Linked DNA regions of Diceros bicornis minor. The protein of the gene in region 2 purifies or fractionates together with the protein of the main gene of each other region. This does not show direct contact. Links are inferred from orthologs where the notes say so. Each region holds a gene or a part of one and is shown on either strand. Other genes may lie near its edges.

Region 1 (10,904 bases), on a different chromosome or scaffold from region 2:
ATTTCCATTTCTGCATATTTCAGCCAGAGTGTAATATTTCGATAGTCCACATCTAAGGCACGTTCGTATATGGATCGAGCCCTTAAGAAGCAAGATTTGGAGGGCATCAAAAGCAGTACATACAACACATGTAGTAATTATCTCAAACCATCTGCAGTGCCCTGCCATTTTATCAGGTGTCTACCGTGAGCCATGTTCTGGGCATAAGAAAAGATATGATATGCCCAGGAACCTTACAAAGACTTAGAAAAAGACACGCACGTAATTACAATGCAATGTGATAACTGTTATAGCTAAGATCTGCACAAGGAAGCAGAGGGGAAGAAATAAAAACATCTGATGGAAAAGGCTAAGCACTGGCTAACTCCAGAATTGAGGACTTGACGAAAGTACCAGAGGCCAAGGCGGATGTGGAGGGGTGCTCACTCCAGGCAGAGAGAACAACCAAGTGTCACAGTCAGGAGTCAGGAGTGGCAAGTATGCAGGCGCAGTGGTGGCAAGGGGTATGCTGGGAGAATGCAGAAAGGCTGGACAACAGGAAAGGCCAGTTGCGATTTTTAATCTTGTTGACCACTGGTCTTCAGTGGAACAATTTTTATTAAAAAAAATTCCAATACAGAGAAAGCAGATGAAACTGCACTTCTCTGGCTGTAGAGTGTGTGTTAGTGGCGAGACCTAACTATAGAGCCTCCTCCGCTATTCCCTCCAGGACTAGCCTACCATAGTGCCCCTGAGGCCCTTCAAAGGAAACCTAGGGTTCCGTGGAACAAACTTTGGAAAATTACTACCAGAGGCACAATCTTTTACTTGTGCGTTAACTTTTTCTATTTTTTTATATCTATTACCTTATGATGTCTTTATGTACAAACTGACATAAATGATGCTCAGCAATTTTACCTTTGAATCTCCTTTAGACTCTCTTCCCATTGTGCGTATTTTATCCAGTTACTAATTACAGTCCTGTTTTTTCTTATGTTATCTTCAAAAGTCTGGCGGAAGGCAAAAAGGGTCAAATTAAAGGAAAATAACGAAAAATGACATTACATTTTGTGTATTGATTCTTGTACTAAAAAGGTTATTCATTATGTTCTTTTTTTTTTTAATTAATTAATTAATTTTTTTCCCCCCAAATCCCCAGTAGATAGTTGTATGTCATAGCTGCACATCCTTCTAGTTGCTATATGTGGAACTCGGCCTCAGGATGGCAGGAGAAGTGGTGCCTCGGTGCGTGCCCTGGATCCGAACCCAGGCCACCAGCAGCGGAGCGCGCGCACTTAACCGCCAAGCCACGGGGCCGGCCCATTATGTTCTTATTTAAGAGAAATTACATCCAAGAATCCTTGAGAAATAAGAAACCCACGAAAGAAGGTTACAATCACAGGTATTTCTTTCAACTCTTACATGCAAACAAAAACTTTAGATATTAAGAATTATTAGCAGAATTGTTGATATTTTCTCTTATTACTCTTAACAACTAACTGATACTTTAACATACTCTACTTGTTCCTAATAAGAAAACGTTTTTGACTATTTACGTCCTCCCAGTAATGTCTCAGAATTTCATACATAAACTTACTGAGGATAACTAATAAGTTGATACAATAGGATTAGTGGTTTAAAATAATCCTACACTCTAGGGAGAGGAGGTCAGATCAGATCCCTGAGTCTTCTCATGGCTCTCTCCCAGGTCTTAACTCTTAACATAGAAAGTGGTACAGACAGAAGTACATAACGCTGTCTTGCTAAGTCCACCCCTTTTCCAGCTGTCAGTTGTTCCACCTGTTAAACTTCTACCCATCTTTGATTCAGCATCAAAAATTAGGTGTCTGGCGGATTTAATTACTTTATACTTTGAAACAGCCAACTCATGGCATACTTTATAAAGTTCAACAAAAGGCAGTTATCTGGTAACCAGAAGTTATATTATGCATGTGGCTAGAAACACTAACCCCTTCTTATTTTATAGTCTCTCTAACCAGTGAGGAACTTTTCAAACTCTGACCTATAAATTCTTAACAATATTAATAGACTAAAAGATATCACATTGACGGACCTTCCTTTTCCTTAGTTTATAATCATTTAACTCTTCTTCATCTGTGATCTTCTGTTGAGGTGGAGGTGGGAGAAGCTCAAGTTCTCTTTCTTTAGCTTCTCTTAAGAGTTGTTCTGCAGTTATCTGTACCTCAGCCGGGGCTTTGTTTTTCACCTTTTAAGACAGAAGACATTTCTATTTTTAGCAGATGATCTTCACACAAGGTTTAGGAAACAAACATTTCTTAGGATGTGAATTTTATAAGTATTATTACAAGATGCCCTTTTTGTATGACATGTTCCCATTTCTCTACGAAACTAAATAGAAAAAAAATTATGTTTTCTATCTTATGCATGGTATTTATTACAAAGCCATGGGTAAAAGTCTTAAGAGAAAAGGTAGCAAAAATAGCAAGTTTTCCCTTTTAGATTAGTATAATAATAAACTTTGAGACTGCCTAGGTACAACTGTCACCAGAGGTTTTGTTTTATCAAGATGTATACCATTTTTTATCTAGCATTACAACCTCTATTTACAGAATTCTTCAACTTATGCCCCACATGGTTAATTGTACTTGGTTTTTCATGGCATTCCAAGTCAAAGACAATATTCAGTAAGTTCCCATCATTAGACTGTAAGCTTCTTGAGGTCTTAGAGCTGTGCTGTCCAGTATAGTAGCCATGAGCCACATGTGGTGAGTCCAAATTGAGATGGGCTGTAAGTGTAAAATTCATAGTGGATTTTGAAGACTTAGTATGAAAAAAAGAATAAACTACCTAATTAAAATTTTTAATATTGATAACATGTTGAAATGACAATATCTTGGATACACTGGGTTAAATAAGATATGTAATTAAAATTAATGTCACCTGTTTTGACTTTTGTGTGTGTGTGTGTGTGTGTGTGTGTGTGTGTGGTGTGTGTGTGTGTGTGTGTGTGTGGGAGGAAGGCTGTTCCTGAGCTAACATCAGGGTCAACCTTCCTCTATTTTTTGTATGTGGGATGCCTGCCACAGCATGGCCTGATGAGCAGTGTGTAGGTCCGCGCTCGGGATCTGAACCTGCAAACCCCGGGCTACCAAAGTGGAGTACACTCACTTAACCACTCTGCCACAGGGCTGGCCCGTTTTGACTTTTTAATGTAGCTATGAGAAAACAAAATTACATATGTGACTCACACCATATTTCCATTGGACCAGTGGTGCCCAATACAAGTTTATGTAACTGAATTATAAAAAACATTAATTATTTAATGCCATGTGTAGAATAATGATGATGATAATGATGACAGCTCATATCTAATGTGCATTAACGGCCAGACACTATGCTATGTGCTTTAGATGCATCATCTCTGGGAGTCATCCAAATGGATATGTAAAGGACAAGCTCAAGAGAGCCCTCTGGGCTGGAGAAACAGACTGGAGGAAGAGTATCTGTAAAGGCTCAGGACAAAGCCTGTCACCTATTAGCCACTCGGTAAGTATCAGCTACGGATGCAAATATCAGATAATATCAAATTTATTGTTTAATGAACTTAAATTATGCCTCTACATAACTCTTGTCATCTACTCTCATTCCGTCCACTCTCAGCTGGGTTAACTCCTACTCAGCCTTCAAGTCTCGGCTTAAATGTCACTTCCTCAGCAAAATGTACTCTGGAGACCCCCTCACACAACTTTCATTATTCCACGGCCTACTCTACTTTGCCTCAGTAGCACTTGGTAAGGCTGCAATTTTACACTTACTCGTGTCTTAAATTTGAGTACTGCTCGTGGCCCGCATTAAAGCGTAGCTCCCCAGCGCCGAGCGCACTGCGTTTCTCGGTTCATGTTTGCTAAATGACCCCAATCCTCCGTCCGCAAACACAACTCCCCAGAACGAAGGCCATGCGGGTTGCTCCGTGGTGACAAGAGCCTGCGGCCCACCGCCGGCTGACCCTTCCTCTCCTTCTCTCCCTCGGCCCCGCACCGGGTGGGCCTGCGCCCGGGACAACACTCTCCCGCCCCGGGCACCACGGGGGTTCAGGCAAGCCCCTCTCCCAGGCCTCCTCTCACAAGGCCCCTCGCTATCGCCTACCTTGGCCACTTTGGGAATCCTCTGCTTCCCAGCCGCGGTGGAGGCCGCCATGGCTGCAGCAGCAGACCTCGGGCGACCCCTGGACCCCAGAAACCAGCCCCCAAAACTCAACGACTCTCCAAAGCTTTCTGACAACAAACTGGAGCCTGGAACCGGAAGCGGAACTGACTGGGGGTGACCTTTGACCTCCAGCACGCACCGTGACGGAGGCAGCGTCGTTTCCGTGGTAACCGAGCTGCGCGTCCTCCTTGGAGCCGGGGGTGGAGCGCCGCGTCCGGGAATTGCGGTTGAGGTAGGTAGCGCTGGCCTGCCCTGCAGGGACACTCTTACAGGGTCTAGGGCGTCAGGGGCGCGTCCCCAGGTCAGTCTCCAGGACTGGGATGACCGTGCGAGGACGGGTGTATCTGTCGAGCTGTGGCGCCCGGCAAAGGGAGTGGGAACCAAGCTCCGGGCCGGATGCTCGAGGGCTGGCGAAGATCGGCAGGCCAGAAAACTAGCATTCCCAGCATGCTGAGGGGGCAAGGTGCTGCGCTCCTAGGCGGCCGGCGCTGCGTTGCATTCTAGGCTTTGTAGTCTCTGAGGTCCACTCCCCTTCTGCACACTTGTGCTCTAATAATTAACTCTAAGGTTTGTGATTAAAAATAACGGACGGTGTTTTAAAACCAGATAATAGGGAAAAAAAATAAGTCAGCAGAGTACTAGCAAACCAGCCAGACTTGTGGTCGGATAAACAGATGTTTAAATTCTGAGTGCCTTAATTATGTAAATTCTCTTGGCCTCAATGTCCTTAACTGTAAGACGAGGGTAATAATATCCATTTCACCAGGATTAAAGAGAAAACCTATGTAAAGTGCTCAGTAAATTTTAGCTGGTGTAATTCTTGTCCTGCCTACAGAAACAGAAAAATTAATTATCTGCAAGCAAATGGTTAAGAGAAAAAAAAAAAAGTCTTTATTTTTTAGAGCAGTTTTAGGTTCACAGCAAAATTGAGTGAAAGGTTCACAGAATTTTGTATTTCCCCAGCACCCCCCCACACCCTCCCAACTCCCACAGCCTCCCCACTATCAACATCCCCCACCACAGTGGTACATTTGTTATAGTCGATAAACCTACATTGACACGTTGTTATCACCCAAAGTTTGTAGTTTATGTTAGGGTTCACTCTCCGTGCTATGCATTCTATGGGATTTGACAAATAATATAATAACATTGATTCACCATTAGAGTATGGTAAAGAATAGTTTCACTGCCCTAAAAATCCTCCGTAGTCTGCCTGTTCATCCTTCCCCCCACCCCTTTGCCCCCTGCAATGACTGATTTTTTTTTATGATCTCCGTAGTTTTTTGCCTTTCCAGAATCATATCATTGGAATCATGTAGTATGTTGACTTTTCAGATTGGCTCCTTTCACTTAGTAGTATGCATTTAAGCTTCCTCCATGTCTTACATGTCTTGATAGCTCATTGATTAAGAGAATTCTGACAGCTGCAAGTCTCTTTTGGTGTTTGGAAGAAATATATTTATATGTTTAGGTATGTAGAAATATGATGTCTACCTTTGCAGATACTGCTTTCGAAAAAATTTTACACTGATTTCCCAAACTGCAGTCATTTGTAACCAATGTAAAAATATTTGCCATAGCTGTGTACCACCTATATTATTGTTTAAATATTTTTATCTCACTTTTCAAATTTTAAATAAATTGAATGAGATTTTATATCACTATGATAAAGAGAAGTGACCTAACAAAATAAACAAATAACTATTAAAATAAAAAGATGTTTCCCTTAAATTTGTAACTATGCATGATCCATTTAACAAAGTTTAAAGTTAATCATCTCTAGCCTCCTCTCAAAGATACAGCACCTTAGAAGGCTTTACTTCAGATCGCCATCCTTCCATCTCACAAGTTTTTATTGTCTGGTAATTCAACTCAGCTTTTTTTTTTAAGCAAAATTTATCATGATTATTACTTTTCATTTTGCTATCAATACTTATTTAGATATACCTGCGTTTTTCATTTTCTCCTCCCAGCATTTCATGTTGTATTCTACTCCTTTCTGATTTTAATTTTATTCTTCCTGATATACGCCTTTTACTAATTCTTTCAACTGGGTTCTTTGAATGGTAATTTCTCTTAGCATTTGTATGAAATTGTCTTTATATCACCTTTATTTATTTATTTATTTATTTATTTATTTATTTATTTGTGAGGAAGATCAGCCCTCAGCTAACATCCATGCCAATCCTCCTCTTTTTGCTGAGGAAGACTGGCCCTGGGCTAACATCTGTGCCCATCTTCCTCTACTTTTTATATGGGACACTGCCACAGCATGGCTTGACAAGAGGTGCATTGGTGCACACCCGGGATCTGAACCTGCGAACCCTCAGGCCACTGAAGCGAAGCACACACGCTTAACCGCTGTGCCACCGGGCCGGCCCCTATATCACCTTTATTTTTAAATGATTGTTTAGCTAGGTGTAAAATTCTAGGTTAATGGTTGTTTTTCCCTCTGTATTTTTAAAATACTATTCTGGTGGTCAGGAAGCTGTAGTCCATAGGCCAAATCCGGTCCATTATCTATTTTGTGTGACTCATGAGCTAAGAATTTTTTTTTCATTTTTAAATAATTGAAAAAATCAAAAGAATATTTTAGGACACACTAAAATTATATAAAAGTTAAATTTCAATGTCCAAAAGTAAAATTTTACTGGAATACAGTCATGCTCATTTGTGTTCATATTGTCTCTTGCTGTTAGTGTACTGTAATAGCAGAGTTGAGTAAATGCTCAAACGGCATATGGCTCATGAGGCCTATAATATTTATTATCTGGTCCTTTACAGAAGAAGTTTGCTAACCTCTGTTCTATTGGCTTCTATTGTTGCTGATGAGAAACGCACTCTTAGTCTGATTATTATTCTTTCATAGGCAGTCTGTCTTTTATCTGATTGCTTTTGGGTTTTCTCTTTGTCTTTGGGGTTGTCTCCCCATTATATATTTAGGATTTATTTTTATTTTCCTGCTCAGAACTGAGGTTTCATGTCTTTCATGAATCCTAAAAAATCACTAGCTGTTATTTTCAAACAACATTTTACTTATCCTTTTTGGAATTCCTATAAGACAGATTTTTTTTTTCATTCTGTCTTACATGTCTCTTAAGTGCATTCTATTTTCCTGTTTCTGTGTGCTTCTTTCTGGATAATTTCTTCATAACTGTCTTCCAGTTCATTAATTCTCTTCAATCTTGTCTAATATGCTTTTAGCCCATCCAATTAGTTTAAGTTTTGTTTTTGTTTTTTTTTTTAATTGATATTTTAATGGTTTCTAACATTGTGAAATTTTGGGTTGTACATTTTTGTTTGTCCATCACCCCATATATGACTCCCTTCACCCCTTGTGCCCACCCCCCACCCCCACTTCCCGGGTAACCACAGTCCAGTTTTCTCTGTCCATGTGTTGGTTTATATTCCACATATGAGTGAGATCATACAGTGTTTGTCTTTCTCTTTCTGGCTTATTTCACTTAACATAATACGCTCCAGGCCCATCCATGTTGTTGCAAATGGGACGATTTTGTCTTTTTTTATGGCTGAGTAGTATTCCATTGTATATATATACCACATTTTCTTAATCCAATCGTCAGTCGAGGGACACTTAGGTTGCTTCCACTTGTTGGCTATGGTGAATAATGCTGCAATGAACATAGGGGTGCATAAGCCTCTTTGGATTGTTGATTTCAGGTGCATTGGATAGATTCCCAGTAGTGGGATGGCTGGATCATAGGGCATCTCTATTTTTAATTCTTTGAGGAATCTCCATACCGTTTTCCATAGAGGCTGCACCAATTTGCATTCCCACCAGCTGTGTATGAGGGTTCCTGTTTCTCCACATCCTCTCCAACATTTGTTGTTTTTTGTCTTGGTGATTATAGCCATTCTAACGGGCGTGAGGTGGTATCTTAGTGTTGTTTTGATTTGCATTTCCCTGATGATTAGTGATGTTGAGCATCTTTTCATGTGCCTATTGGCCATCTGTATATCTTCCTTGGAGAAGTGTCTGTTCATTTCCTCTGCCCGGTTTTTGATCGGGTTGTTTGTTTTTTTGTTGTTCAATTGTGTGAGTTCTTTATATATTATGGAGATCAACCCCTTGTCAGATGTATGTTTTGCAAATATTCTCTCCCAGCTGGTTGGTTGTTTGTTCATCTTGATTCTGGTTTCATTTGTCTTATAAAAGCTCTTTAGTCTGATAAAGTCCCACTTGTTTATTTTTTCTTTAGTTTCCCTAGTCTGGGTAGGCATGTCATCCGAAAAGATTCCTTTAAACCCAATGTCAAATAGTGTGTTGCCTATATTTTCTTCTAAGAGTTTTATAGTTTCAGGTCTCACCTTCAGGTCTTTGATCCATTTTGAGTTAATTTTTGTGAATGGCGATAGCACATGGTCCACTTTCATTCTTTTGCATGTGGCTGTCCAGTTTTCCCAACACCATTTATTGAAGAGACTTTCCTTTCTCCATTGCATGTCCTTAGCACCTTTGTCGAAAATTAGCTGTCCGTATATGTGTAGTTTTATTTCTGGGCTTTCAATTCTGTTCCATTGATCTGTGTGTCTGTTTTTGTACCAGTACCATGCTGTTTTGATTACTATTGCTTTGTAGTATGTTTTGAAGTCAGGAATTGTGATGCCTCCTGCTTTGTTCTTTTTCTTTAGGATTTCTTTAGCTATTCGGGGTCTTTTGTTGCCCCATATAAATTTTAGTATTCTTTTTTCTATTTCTGTGAAGAATGTCATTGGGATTCTGATTGGGATTGCATTGAATCTGTAGATTGCTTTAGGTACTATAGACATTTTAACTATGTTTATTCTTCCAATCCACGTGCATGGGATATCTTTCCATTTCTTTATGTCATCGTAGATTTCCCTCAATAATGTCTTGTAGTTCTCATTGTATAGGTCCTTCACCTCCTTGGTAAGATTTATTCCTAGGTATTTTATTCTTTTTGATGCAATTGTAAATGGTATTATCTTTTTGAGCTCTCTTTCTGTTAGTTCATTATTAGCATATAGAAATGCAACTGATTTTTGTAGATTGATTTTGTACCCTGCAACTTTGCTGTAGTTGTTGATTGTTTCTAACAGTTTTCCAACAGATTCTTTAGAGTTTTCTATATATACAATCATGTCATCTGCAAATAGTGAGAGTTTCACTTCTTCGTTACCTATTTGGATTCCTTTTATTCCTTTTTCTTGCCTAATTGCTCTGGCCAAAACCTCCAGTACTATGTTGAACAGGAGTGGTGAGAGTGGGCAGCCCTGCCTCGTTCCTGTTCTCAGAGGAATGGCTTTCAGTCTTTCCCTGTTGAGTATGATGTTAGCTGTGGGTTTGTCATATATGGCCTTTATTATGTTGGGTACTTTCCTTCTATTCCCATTTTATTGAGAGTTTTTATCATAAATGGATGTTGTATCTTGTCAAATGCCTTCTCTGCGTCTATTGAGACGATCATGTGGTTTTTATTCTTTGTTTTGTTGATGTGATGTATCACGTTGATTGATTTGCGGATGTTGAACCATCCCTGCGTCTCTGGTATAAATCCCACTTGATCATGGTGTATGATCTTTTTAATATATTGTTGTATTCGGTTTGCCAATATTTTGTTGAGGATTTTTGCATCAATGTTCATCAGCGATATTGGCCTGTAATTTTCTTTCTTTGTATTGTCTTTGTCTGGTTTTGGTATCAGGGTGATGTTGGCCTCATAGAATGATTCAGGAAGTGTTCCATCTTCCTCTATTTTTTGGAATAGTTTGAGGAGGATGGGTATTAAATCTTCTTTGAATGTTTGGTAAAATTCACTGGAGAAGCCATCTGGTCCTGGACTTTTATTTTTTGGGAGGTTTTTGATTACTATTTCAATCTCTTTACTTGTTATTGGTCAATTCAGATTCTCCATTTCTTCTTGGTTCAATTTTGGGAGGTTGTATAAGTCTAAGAATTTATCCATTTCTTCTAGATTGTCCAATTTGTTGGCATATAATTTCTCATAGTATTCTCTTATAATCCTCTGTATTTCCATGGTGTCCGTTGTAATTTCTCCTCTTTCATTTCTAATTTTATTTACTTGAGCCTTTTCTCTTTTTTTCTTAGTTAGCCTGGCTAAGGGTTTGTCTATTTTGTTTATCTTCTCGAAGAACCAACTCTTTGTTTCATTAATCCTTTCTACTGTTTTTTTGGTCTCAATATCATTTATTTCTGCTCTGATTTTTATTATTTCTCTCCTTCTGCTGGCTTTGGGCTTTGTTTGTTCTTCTTTTTCTAGTTCTGTTAGGTGTAATTTAAGGTTGCCTATTAGGGCTTTTTCTTGTTTGTTAAGGTGGGCTTGTATCGCTATGAGTTTCCCTCTCAGGACCGCTTTTGCTGCGTCCCATATGGTTTGATATGGCATGTTATCATTTTCGTTTGTTTCCAGATAGTTTTTGATTTTTCCTTTAATTTCATCAATGATCCATTGGTTGTTCAGTAGCATGTTGTTTAATCTCCACATTTTTGTCACTTTCCCAGTTTTTTTTTCCTGGTTCATTTCCAGTTTCACAGCCTTATGGTCTGAAAAGATGCTTGTTATGATTTCAATCTTCTTAAATTTATTGAGGCTTGCTTTGTTTCCCAACATATGGTCTATCCTAGAGAATGTTCCATGCGCGCTTGAGAAGAATGTGTAGTCAGCTGTTTTTGGATGGAGTGCTCTGTATATGTCTACTAGGTCCATCTCGTCCAGTTTTTCATTTAAGTCTAA
Region 2 (10,991 bases):
CCGATAGGTTCAACAGTAAGGGAGAAAGATGCTTTAAATAAGGAGCACATTATTCCACTCACTGACAGAATGAAAAACCACAGATGAAAGAAAAAAAGATTATGGCAGCTACTGAATATTTAATGTCATAAAACAGGTGAGAAATAAAAGTATGTTTCTTAAGGAACGTGTCCCCATGGCCCCACTGTTTATTAAGTAGTATATATAGCTAATTCCAAGATATGAATTATAAGATCTGATACATAACACCACACTGAATAACTACATGTTGGACTGGCTGTTTCATCAGCAAAAACAAGATCTGCAATTAGATTATAGGTCTCTGAGTAAATAAGAATGAAGTGGTTGCACTCACACTTCAATATTCAGCCATGATATTTTATTTTCCTTTACAAATGTCAGTAAAATGAAAAATCTTAAGCTGAGCTTTTTAAAAGTGTTCCTTGAGTCAATTACGTATGAATGATGACAACAGAATAGGTATTATAACTCTAAAATTTTAATTTTAAATTTTTAAAAATTTAAATACAGGGGTCAGCCCCATGCCTTAGAAGTTAAGTTCCGCATGCTCCACTTGGGCAGGCCAGGTTTGCAGGTTCAGACCCCAGGCGTGGACCTACACCACTTGTCAGTCATGCTGTGGCGGCAACTCACATACAAAATAGAAGACTGGCACTGATGTTAGCTCAAGGCAAATCTTCCTCAAGCAAAATGAGGAAGATTAGCAATGGATATTAGCTCAGGGCGAATCTTCCTCAGCAAAAAAAATAAAATAAAATAAACGCAGACCAATTTAGGCATGACATATAAGTTACTTTTACACTTGGATTGATGTGTTAAATTGTACAAATGTGTAACTGAAGAAAAGGTCATAGAAAACGTACAATCATTTGAATGTTATCTTCTTCAAGTCAGCGTTTGTGATGTATCGTTATGGTGAAACATTCAATTTTCTTATTTGGAGTCACAGCCTGAAACCAGTACTCAAAATTTTCAGGATATATTACATAACTTCGTGGCTCATCTACAAACAAATTCTCTGCACTTGTCACAAGACAGTAAGCTTAAAAAAAGGCAATTACCATGAAAAGAAAGCATTTATATCTTTCAAAGTGAAGATGTTTCTTAAAAAGAGTCAGTTAATATGAAAAGCATTTACATCTTTCTGGGCCGGCCCCCGTGGCTTAGCGGTTTTAAGTGCACGCGCTCCGCTGCTGGCGGCCGGGGTTCAGATCCCGGGCGCACAATGACGTGCCACTTTTCCAGCCATGCTGAGGCCGCGTCCCACATACAGCAACTAGAAGGATGTGCAACTATGACATACAACTATCTACTGGGGCTTTGGGAGAAAAAATAAATAAATAAAATTAAAAAAAAAAAAAAGAAAAGCATTTACATCTTTCAAAGTGAAGATGTCTCCCAAGACGTTACGTTAAATTGATGAGCTATCACTCATAAACAAAGACCAAACAACTTTAGCACCTAACTGTAAAGCTTTGCAATCAACAGCATACTTAGATTAAACTGTCAAATCTCTGGGAGGTTCCGATTCCTCCTCGAAAGGGGTATTCTCAAAGCGAGGTCTGCCAACCAGCATCACTTGGCACTTAATTAGAAATGCAAATTCTTGGGGCACAACCCAGACTCAATCAGAAACTGGTGGAGAGCCCAGCAATCTGTTTTAAATAGCCCTCTTGCTGATTCTGATGTCAGCTCATGTTCAAGAACCACTGTGAAGAGTTTAAGATTGATATAAAATAAATCCAAGAACATTATAACCTATCATAATAAACGCACCAAGAGGATAAAAAAATCCTATAGTAATCCTTCTTCCCTTTATAAATCCCAAATTTCCAATATCTAAGAAAATCCATGTAGTTATGCTACATCTAATAGCTCTGGTTCTCACCATGGTCAACTCTCTAGTAAACCTAATACGTACAAAACCATAATCTTCCCTGATCCCAATGAGAATGAATGAGTATACATATAAAGTATGAGCAAATACTATTCCCCAAAAACTACTACTAATAAAATTACTTGAAGACTAAAATACTGATATTAAGGCAGTTAACAAAAATTACTATTATAAAAAAACTGCTTTTAATAATAAAATTATTTCTGTATACTTTTCAGCCACCCAGCAACAAATAACTTGAGTTATAGAAATCAGCAGTTAACAAAGGTAACAAGTCTAAACCCCCTCATAAGTATAAAACTGAAACCCAGAAAGTTTAACTGATTTGCCTGACACAGCTAATAACCAGCAGGGGCTAAAATCCAGTTCTCTAACTCCTAGGCCAAAATTCTTTCAACTGTCACACTCCCCAATTTACATCCCACACATTCACCAGTTAATATAATTAATCTTAAAGATTAGAATAACTAGCTGTTTTGGAGTTTATTCCTTGCTTGTTTCTAACAGCAATTCCATCCAAAACAAAGGTCGCATACTATGTGAAACCCTCTAGAGACCTAATGACAAATACATGGTATGTTTAATTCTCTACAGAAGGAATAGCAAACAGGACACCAAGCATTCCCCTGGCATGAGTATGGGAAACACACAAAAAGGTCAGAAGACGTGCAACTTAAGTCATCCTACTTAAATCCTTCCTCTCCAGCCAACATGAAAATGTTACTAATGCCCACCTATTTGAAAACACATCTAGAATTGTTTCAGATATTAATCCTGTGGCCACATCATTCCAGATGAATATTACCTCAAAGGAACTGTTACCTTGGTACATGCCGATCTCAAGGAACCCATAATTCTAACACCTTAAGGCAAAAAAAAGTGCCCTTCAAATAATTTCAACTCTTATCAATAATTGTTCTTAAACATTAATTCCTTACATTTCTCTTTATTTGCCAGCAATATTTTTATTAAGTCTATGATCTCCTGAATTAACCAATCACTGCTCTTACCTCATTTCTAACAGTTCTGCAGAGGGATAAACTTTAATTTTAAGCCCATATAATAATATATATGTTTAGGCTTAAAAAAATATAAAGGCAACGCCTTTAATCCCCATCACAGTATCTACACGGTGAGGGATCAACAAATGCATAGCTATCTATAATAAGACTACTTTTATTTTCTATCAAGTAGACTTGTTTCCTAAGGGATGAATTTATCCTGCAGTGTTGGTTTAAACTGTGCTTAATAACATAAGTTTTTGTGAGAATTAACACACTAAGAAAAATAAAATCAATGAAATCTTACACCAGGATAAAAAAAGCCATTTCTCAGAAAAGTGAAAGGGGTGCTATTTAGAAACCTATGTAATTTTTATAAGCTTAGCAAAAATTTTTAATCATGTTTCAGGACCTTGCAAATACTAGGCACTATAATACGTGCCTAAAACTATTTAGTCATGCATTTTTGTTAAAGTTTAGATGGTCTGGAAAATTAATATGAGAATACCCTGAAAGTCAAATTTTAAGTTTATCAGGACGTTACATTAACAACAAACGCAATTCTCGTAAATATTTTTCCCAAGTGCAGTTTGGGAATTTCCAGTTACCGCTAGTGGTTGCTGTAACTAGGACCTCGTAAACATCCAGATAATATACTACTTTTAGCACCTAGTATTCCAATAGGTGGGTAAAACCACTTGACTATCGTATGTGATCAAATTCCTTACCAGTTTCACTGATTTAATACGACCCTGGCAACCAACACTCTTACGCCTCAGTTTGTCTGAGAAAGACAGTAATACCTACCTCAAGCAAAGTTCCACTAACTTATATATTTCAAGTGATTTGTAACCTGCAGATAAAAAGTAAGCCAGCTTTAATTATTACTGTTAATATGTAAATGAGATTACAATATTTTTTAAAAATAGAATTGAAAATAACCATTTCGAGGTCCATCTTTTGCTCAGGGAGGAATAAAATAAAAAGCAACAAAATGTTAAATCTATTGTTATAATATTCGTTATTCTTACGCCCTGCGGTACGCTCCAGGATTTACAGGCCTGCGGCACAATATGTACTCTGCAACCCTCCCCCAACCCCCGCCCAATTTTTAAATTTAACAGGAAACAGCGGTACTACATTAACTTCAACTATATCAATGCGCATCTCGATCTTTCCTTCCACGATCTCTCTTGGAGTCCTCATGGTTTTAGAAAAGGAAAGGAAAGCAGCCGTTAACACAGGGAGCGAAAAAGAAAAAGGACGTTTTCCCTGCGGATCGTGGCCTAGAGGACACTAGGCTAAATCTACGCAAGCGCTGAGACCTACAAAACTCTCTCCAGCATAAGACACAATCCCCCAGTGCCAACAGAATAAACCGGGGCCTGGTTACTCTACCGAGGGGAAGGTTCCCTCGTCTCCTCTCCCGCACACTCTCGCGCTCCCCGAGGAACCCAACGCCTCCCTTGCTTCCGCCCCGTCTACTTACCAGGAGGGGGAAGGGAGAAGAGATTCGATTCTGAATCTCCTACCCCCGGGTTCTACGTGAAGAAGCCGACTGCTGCTCGAGGTCGGCAACGCGGCCGCAACCGGTTCGTCTCTTCACAAAATGGCCCCCGAGCCTCCTCTGCCGCCGAGGAGAAGGCCTAGCCCCCGCCCCACTTCTAGGAATCTTCCTATTGGCTGCGACTTTTCTCGCTCCCGCTTCTAATTAGACAGTTCTACCGCTCTTCACGATTCTGCCCAATCACAACCAGTAGTGGGTTAGACTAAGCAAGAGAATTTCCACATGCGTGAGAGAAGCTAGTTTGTAACTGGTTGTTTTTCCTGTCATTTATCGCCTGAGAAATGCTTATTGGCCACTGTACCTGACGAAGCGCTGGGTAGAAGCTCGCCTTTGTATCGCGCACCACTTCACATCCGGGTATCTGGAAGGTCTGATTGGCGGCCACGGTGTCCTATCTCTGCTCTTTAGAGTGCCTGCTAGAAGGCTCGCCCAGATCTCGGAATTCCCGCGGCGCGGGGGCGGGGAAGGAGTCAGGGGTTTTGTTAGGTAGCAGGCCTTGAGGCTCTGCCCCAGCCCCGGGCCTAGGAAAAATGAGACGCGCAGAGTGAATCCTCCGTCGTGCGCTGTGGATAAAGAAAGGACTTTTCTTGGAGTGGGGAGGGAGCAGTGAAGACTAGGCCTAGTCTTGTGTGTAGAAAACTAACCTGCCCTGCCGTTTTTCCAACCCTAGATCCCTTCTCGGTTCTAGACTCAAATGTCAGCTCCCTCCTGGACAACTCCACTTCATAGCCTGTCGGGCCCTTCTTCAGAAAATCCATATCTCACCTAAACCAACTGACTTCCTAATTCTTCTCCACTACAAAAAGTAAAGAAAGTCTAAATTCCAATCTTGGAATGCTACAGCGCCCATCCTCTGGCCCAAGTCATCTCACTTACTAAAACCCTACATGCCCACTAAATAGGCTTCCCCCTCTGTCTCTCTCCCCAAACAATCTGGTCCCTTAATTCTTTTCATCCTGAAATGGCGTGTTTCCCATCTACTCGTCTGGGTCGTCGCCTGCCAGGCTCTCTCGTTGTATTAGCAGCCATGAACGCAATGGAATAGGACCAGCTCTACTAAGAATGAGGCAGATTTCTCTGTGCCATTAGGGAAAGCAAAGTGCAAAACACTGTCTAGATGATGTGATTCCATCTGTATGTAATAAGTAAGGGATATAAGTGTATGTGAATGCAATTTTATGCATTAGTTTTGAATTAATTCTGAATTCCAGAGCGATTCACGAGGGAGCTGGCTGTTACCTGTCAAAGGACAAAACTAAAACAATTTAGTAACGAATTTGATGTCCTTTATTCAAGGGAAAACAATCCATGGATTGGGAGAAGGCAGTGCCTCACAAGCAGTGGAGCACTCTTGCCGAGGGCAGGAGCCAGGTTCATGTAGCATCAGAAGCCTCACGCGGAAACAGGCGGAAACAGCATGATCGGCTGGGCTTGCGTATCTGACCTTATTTAGAAAGATCAAGGAACACGGAAATAAATACAGTACATAGCCCAGAGCTGGCTTGGTATTTGAGGATTGGATATACTGCGTTTCTGGTCAACTGGAGCGTTTACAGGAACATGAAAGTTCGGTTTGCTGACGTGTCACCCAGCATGAGAGTCTCCATCTTGGGCCTAGAAATTTATTTCAAAATACCTTTGGGGAGCGAACCTTCTACCTTTTTCGATGGTATGCCTTTCTATACTGTTTGAATTTTTTCCCATATGCATGTATTGCTTCAAGCTAATTTAAAAAGCAAAAACAGAAAGTGTGTAAGAAAAAATATACTAAAATGTTAGTAGTGGTTCTCTCCTGGTGGGACAATTACATGTGCTTTTTTTTTTCACTTCCTTGTGCTTTTCTATATTTTCCAAATCGTCGACTTTGAACAAGAAATCAGAGAGAGAACATTCTACAAGTGCTTGAAGCCTCAGCTCAATTGCCCACATTGCAATTTATTTAAAACTACTTCAGAGCACTGTGGTTAATTTTACACTCATCTCTTCTCCGCTCCTGGATGGTAAGTTTTTTGATGGCAGAGTTTAATTTTTATTCCTCTCTGTATTCCCCTTGCTTACTACATATCACAGGGCCTTAAACAGAGATTGTTTTAAATTTGTATTAAATTAATTAATTATTAACTTTTATTTGTCAGGGGAAATTGCTATTTTCCCAGGACAAACAAGTACACTGTCCTTTCTTTATTATATATTTTGTATAGCACTTAACTCAGAGGGACCCGGAGACTGTGAGGCTTGGTCTACGTGTAATTCATGTAATTCTTGACTTAAGTAAACACAAATAAACACTAACATGTTTTATTACTCATTGTTCTCATAGAATAAAAATGTCTATAAAATGTCAATGAAAACCACTTATTTCATTTTACCAGAAATCAGTTTTACTGCATGATCATTGTCATGACCTACTTATTAACCAGCACTGTATTTGGTGCAAGAGAAGTACTTAAGAGACAGCATTTATGTTTTCCAGGAGTTCACTCCTATGCTAGGTAGGGTGAAAATGGAGGATACATGAAGAATTAACAATCAGTACCTCTGTCAAGTAACTTAGAGTTTACTAAGGATGAGAAAACTAGTGCAAAAATAGCATAATACAAGGCAGAACGCTAAGCACCATGTTGATAGCAGACATTCATGACAGTGGTTTTAAGGCTCTGTAAACCTAGGTGGGGGAGATGGAGGGAAGGAAGTTCCGTTGATCTCTTCTGCTTACTCTAAACACCTTTACAGTTCTAAAGGTGAATGCTTCTTCTATTGGGTGGCTGTGTAGAGTAGAAAGACAGCCATTAGCCAGACTCCAGGAGTGGAGGGAGAGAGAAGGAAGAGGTAAGGAAACAGAGAAGAAGTTAACTCCTTACCTTGGGCTAAAGAGAAAACAAAACAAAACTGAACTTTTATTTTTAATTCAAGAAGTAATTCTATTTGAGGAAGGCTTTATGTGGCTTGGGCGTTTTACCAGAATAATGTACCCGCTGTAACTTCTCTCCTCCCAATTCCAAGCCACCTGTCAAGAAGAAGAAAGGAAAAGCAGCAATAGCTATGAAATGCCTAATATTAATATTATTATATTAATAATATTATAAAGATATTACACAATACTTTCAAGACCCTTACTCTTTTACTGCATCCTGTTTCTCCCACCTTGAGTCTGTCCCTCAAGCTGATCCTGCAAACTGCTGTCATGGTAATCATCTGAAAGCATTCACTTTCACTGTGTGACTCCCACACTACACTCCTGTAATAGCTCTCTATTCCAGTCCTACGTTTTTAATTGTTTCATTCACAGCCCTTCCCTGACTGTCTCATTACCTGTCAGTGTTCTCCACTCCACAGGGCCCTATGCCTGGGCAGCCCCTGCTGTCCCCACTCCAATGGGCCACATTGCTGTTCTCTTTCCCCATAATCCAACCATTCTTTAAAACCCAACTCAAGTCCCAATTAATGCTTTTAAAGAATACATGATGATTCATTCAACTGCTTATTTAATCAACCAATACTTTAGTGGGTTTTTTTTGACTTTAAGTATTTTATATACTCAAGGCATTGATCTAAACGTCACAAAACTGGATATAACTTAGTTCCAGTTCTCAAACTTTGCACCCCTTCTCAAACTCATTTCGTAGTCATTATTTATCCCATAACAGGATAGCACTGTTTTGTTCTGTAATCCTTTTGTTTATGGACCCCAATTTGTGCTTGGTGTATGTGTATGAATCACAATATTGAATAGGTTGATTGTTTGACTAGTTATCTGACATAGTATTTCATTATACCTATTTCTGTTTTCATTCCAAAAGCCTTTGGCAGTGGGTAAAATCATACTAGGGAAATTTGGAATACAGAGTCCAGTGAATAGATTACTGATGATCTGGCTTCTAGAGTACAGATTCTATAAAAAAGATTTTACACATTGTTAATAAAATTAGTCATCACTTCGGTTGCATACACACCTTCTCAAGGCTTCCAGTGTGTTTTTTCTTTCTTATTATTTTAAAGCTTTCCAAATGGAAATATCCTATTTGATTTTTTTCTGATAAATATGTGATTATTGTAAAAATTTGAAATACAGAAAAAGTGAAAATCCCTATGTGATCCATTCTCCAAAAACATCCATTTTTAACTATTTGGTATAGATGTTTACAGATTTTTAAAAAATGTATATATGGATTTATTTTTACCTAAGTATTATAATCTGTAGTCAGGGACTTTTAAATTTTTGTTTTAATAACCAAAACACTGAGCTTAAAAATTAAAAAATAAAAGAACAAGCAAAAAATCTTTATCCACAAAGCTTGAAAAAATTAGAAAGATTAAAGAAATTCTGAATCATGACATCCATTTAGTGGTTTTGGGGTTGAGTAGTATTTGACTTTAAGTATTACTGGTCACCCTCATATTAATAATAATAAAAATAATAGATAACTTTTATTGAGCGGATATCATGCATCAAGCACTTTTCTAAGTATTTTACATGAATTAGTTCATTTGGTAATTTTATTATTCGCATTTTAAATATGAGGAAACTAAAACACAGAGAAGTTAAGTAATTTGCCTAAGGTAGCACAGCTAGTTGTTAATGGAGCTAAAAATGCTAGGAAGTCTGATTTTAGAATGTGTGCATATAACCATTACAAGTTATTAATAATATAAGTTTTGCAAAGGTGGAAAAATCCTACTCATTTATTTAACAAATATTTATGAAGTACGTGCTATGTAATAAGCATTATGCCAAGTTCTGTGCCAGGTCACAGGAACATAGAAGTAAACAAAATAGACATGGCCCCTGACCTTCAGAACAGAGTCAAATACTAAATGAATAATTAATTAATTGCTTAAAATAAATTTTATTAAGTGCTACTAAAGATAAGTATAGAATGCTATGGACCTGTGTAATATAGGCCTCTATCCCCTTCAAGGAGATACTGTGAAAATAAATGACTTAATTAGAAAGACTTCCTGTTTCTTTCTTGTTTCCTCCATTTCTTTTTTCTCCTTCCTACTAAATGTTTTTCTCCATCTTTTCTTTTGTCTTCTTTGATCCTTTTCTAATTTTCATCCCAGCAATGACCTAAATCTGGTTTCTTATAGGTTAAGCCTTGTTTAACACACTTGCCATCTGTTCTCCTTCTGGCTCTTGAGGTGCAAGATTTTATCCTCTGGTGATATTTCATTAGGCTAATCTTTGTACAGCTTACAAAATGCTTATCAGTTGACAGGTTTTACATTTCATAATTAGTGCTTATTTTATATAATGGTAGGAATTGACCTTTTGAGCACACATCTAAATGTTATAAAAATACTATGTGAACTGGCCCAGATCATTTCAAATATGAAATTATATTTCACATAATAATTATCTTTCACGTAACTGACCCTTACAGTAGTTCCCTCTTATGGAAGGGGGATATGTTCCAAGACCCCCAGTGGATGCCTGGGATAGCCCCGAACCCTACGTATACTATGTTTTTTCCTAACGGGCTAATGAGCAAGTAGTGTATACAGCATGGATACACCGGACAAAGGGATGATTGACGTCCCGGGCAGGATACAGCGGGACTGGGAGAGATTTCATCACACTACTCAGAATGGTGTGCAACTTAAAACTTATGAATCGTTTATTTCTGGAATTTTCTTTTTTTTTAATAATTTTATTTATTTATTTTCCCCCAAAGCCCCAGTAGATAGTTGTATGTCATAGCTGCACTTCCTTCTAGTTGCTGTATGTGGGACTCGGCCTCAGCATGGCCAGAGAAGCAGTGCGTTGGTGTGCGCCGGGGATCCATCCCAGGCCGCCAGCAGCAGAGTGCGCGCACTTAACCACTAAGCCGTGGGGCGGGCCCTGGAATTTTCCATTTAATATTTTTGGACCACAATTGACCATAGGTAACTGAAACCATGGAAAGCAAAACCGCAGATAAGGGGGAACTACAGTATAAAATTTACTCAGGGACTTTTTAAACACAATCTTGGAGACCTCTCTTAATGTCTGAGGAATATTTCCAGTAGAATGACTCATCTTTTATTACTACCTATTCCATAACTCCACCCCCAGAATACTGCCTTTTTGTCATCTCAATTTATATTCAGATACCTGAAACCTCAGAACATACTCCCTTGCTCCCTTCCTCATTGTCCAATGTCCTGACTACCACTCCCTTCTGGGGAGTGGTAAAAACAGAATAGTAGAGGGTCAAAGAATGGTAAATTCTGGGAATTTGAAGAAATGCTGAATTAGGGATGATAATATCACAAAGAAAGCATGCATTTGAATTGGCAGATTCAAGCAATGACGAGATCATTCAAGTCCCTTTCCTTTTATCTGAGTGCTGAAAAGCAAAAGAAAGCCTTATTAAGCTTGTGTGAGTAAGGTTTTCAATTACTGAATCAAGTATCAGTTTTCAAATTTAAGTTTAAAGTAAATAAAATTGGGAGATGAAAATGTCCTAAAACTGATTTATGGTGATGGTTGCATTAATCAGTGAAGTTACTAAAATCATTGTAT

The links. Proteins that work in one complex are often made in the same cells at the same time.
Region 1: the proteins of HNRNPC (region 2) and CRNKL1 purify together in Homo sapiens (co-immunoprecipitation; 3 studies listed by BioGRID and IntAct, with this or other methods). This does not show direct contact. The link is inferred for Diceros bicornis minor from reciprocal best matches to the Homo sapiens genes HNRNPC and CRNKL1.

Annotation. Positions count from the first base shown.
Region 1 is NC_080758.1:46,550,340-46,561,243, forward strand, and holds the start of CRNKL1 (crooked neck-like protein 1), read right to left. Parts: upstream 4,259-10,904; 5' UTR 4,159-4,258; coding exon 4,108-4,158; intron 2,207-4,107; coding exon 2,054-2,206; intron 990-2,053; coding exon 898-989; intron 82-897; coding exon 1-81. UniProt on the Homo sapiens protein: Involved in pre-mRNA splicing process. As a component of the minor spliceosome, involved in the splicing of U12-type introns in pre-mRNAs.
Region 2 is NC_080744.1:28,064,444-28,075,434, reverse strand, and holds the start of HNRNPC (heterogeneous nuclear ribonucleoproteins C1/C2), read right to left. Parts: upstream 4,529-10,991; 5' UTR 4,409-4,528; intron 3,773-4,408; exon of another isoform or gene 3,727-3,772; intron 1-3,726. UniProt on the Homo sapiens protein: Binds pre-mRNA and nucleates the assembly of 40S hnRNP particles. Interacts with poly-U tracts in the 3'-UTR or 5'-UTR of mRNA and modulates the stability and the level of translation of bound mRNA molecules. Single HNRNPC tetramers bind 230-240 nucleotides.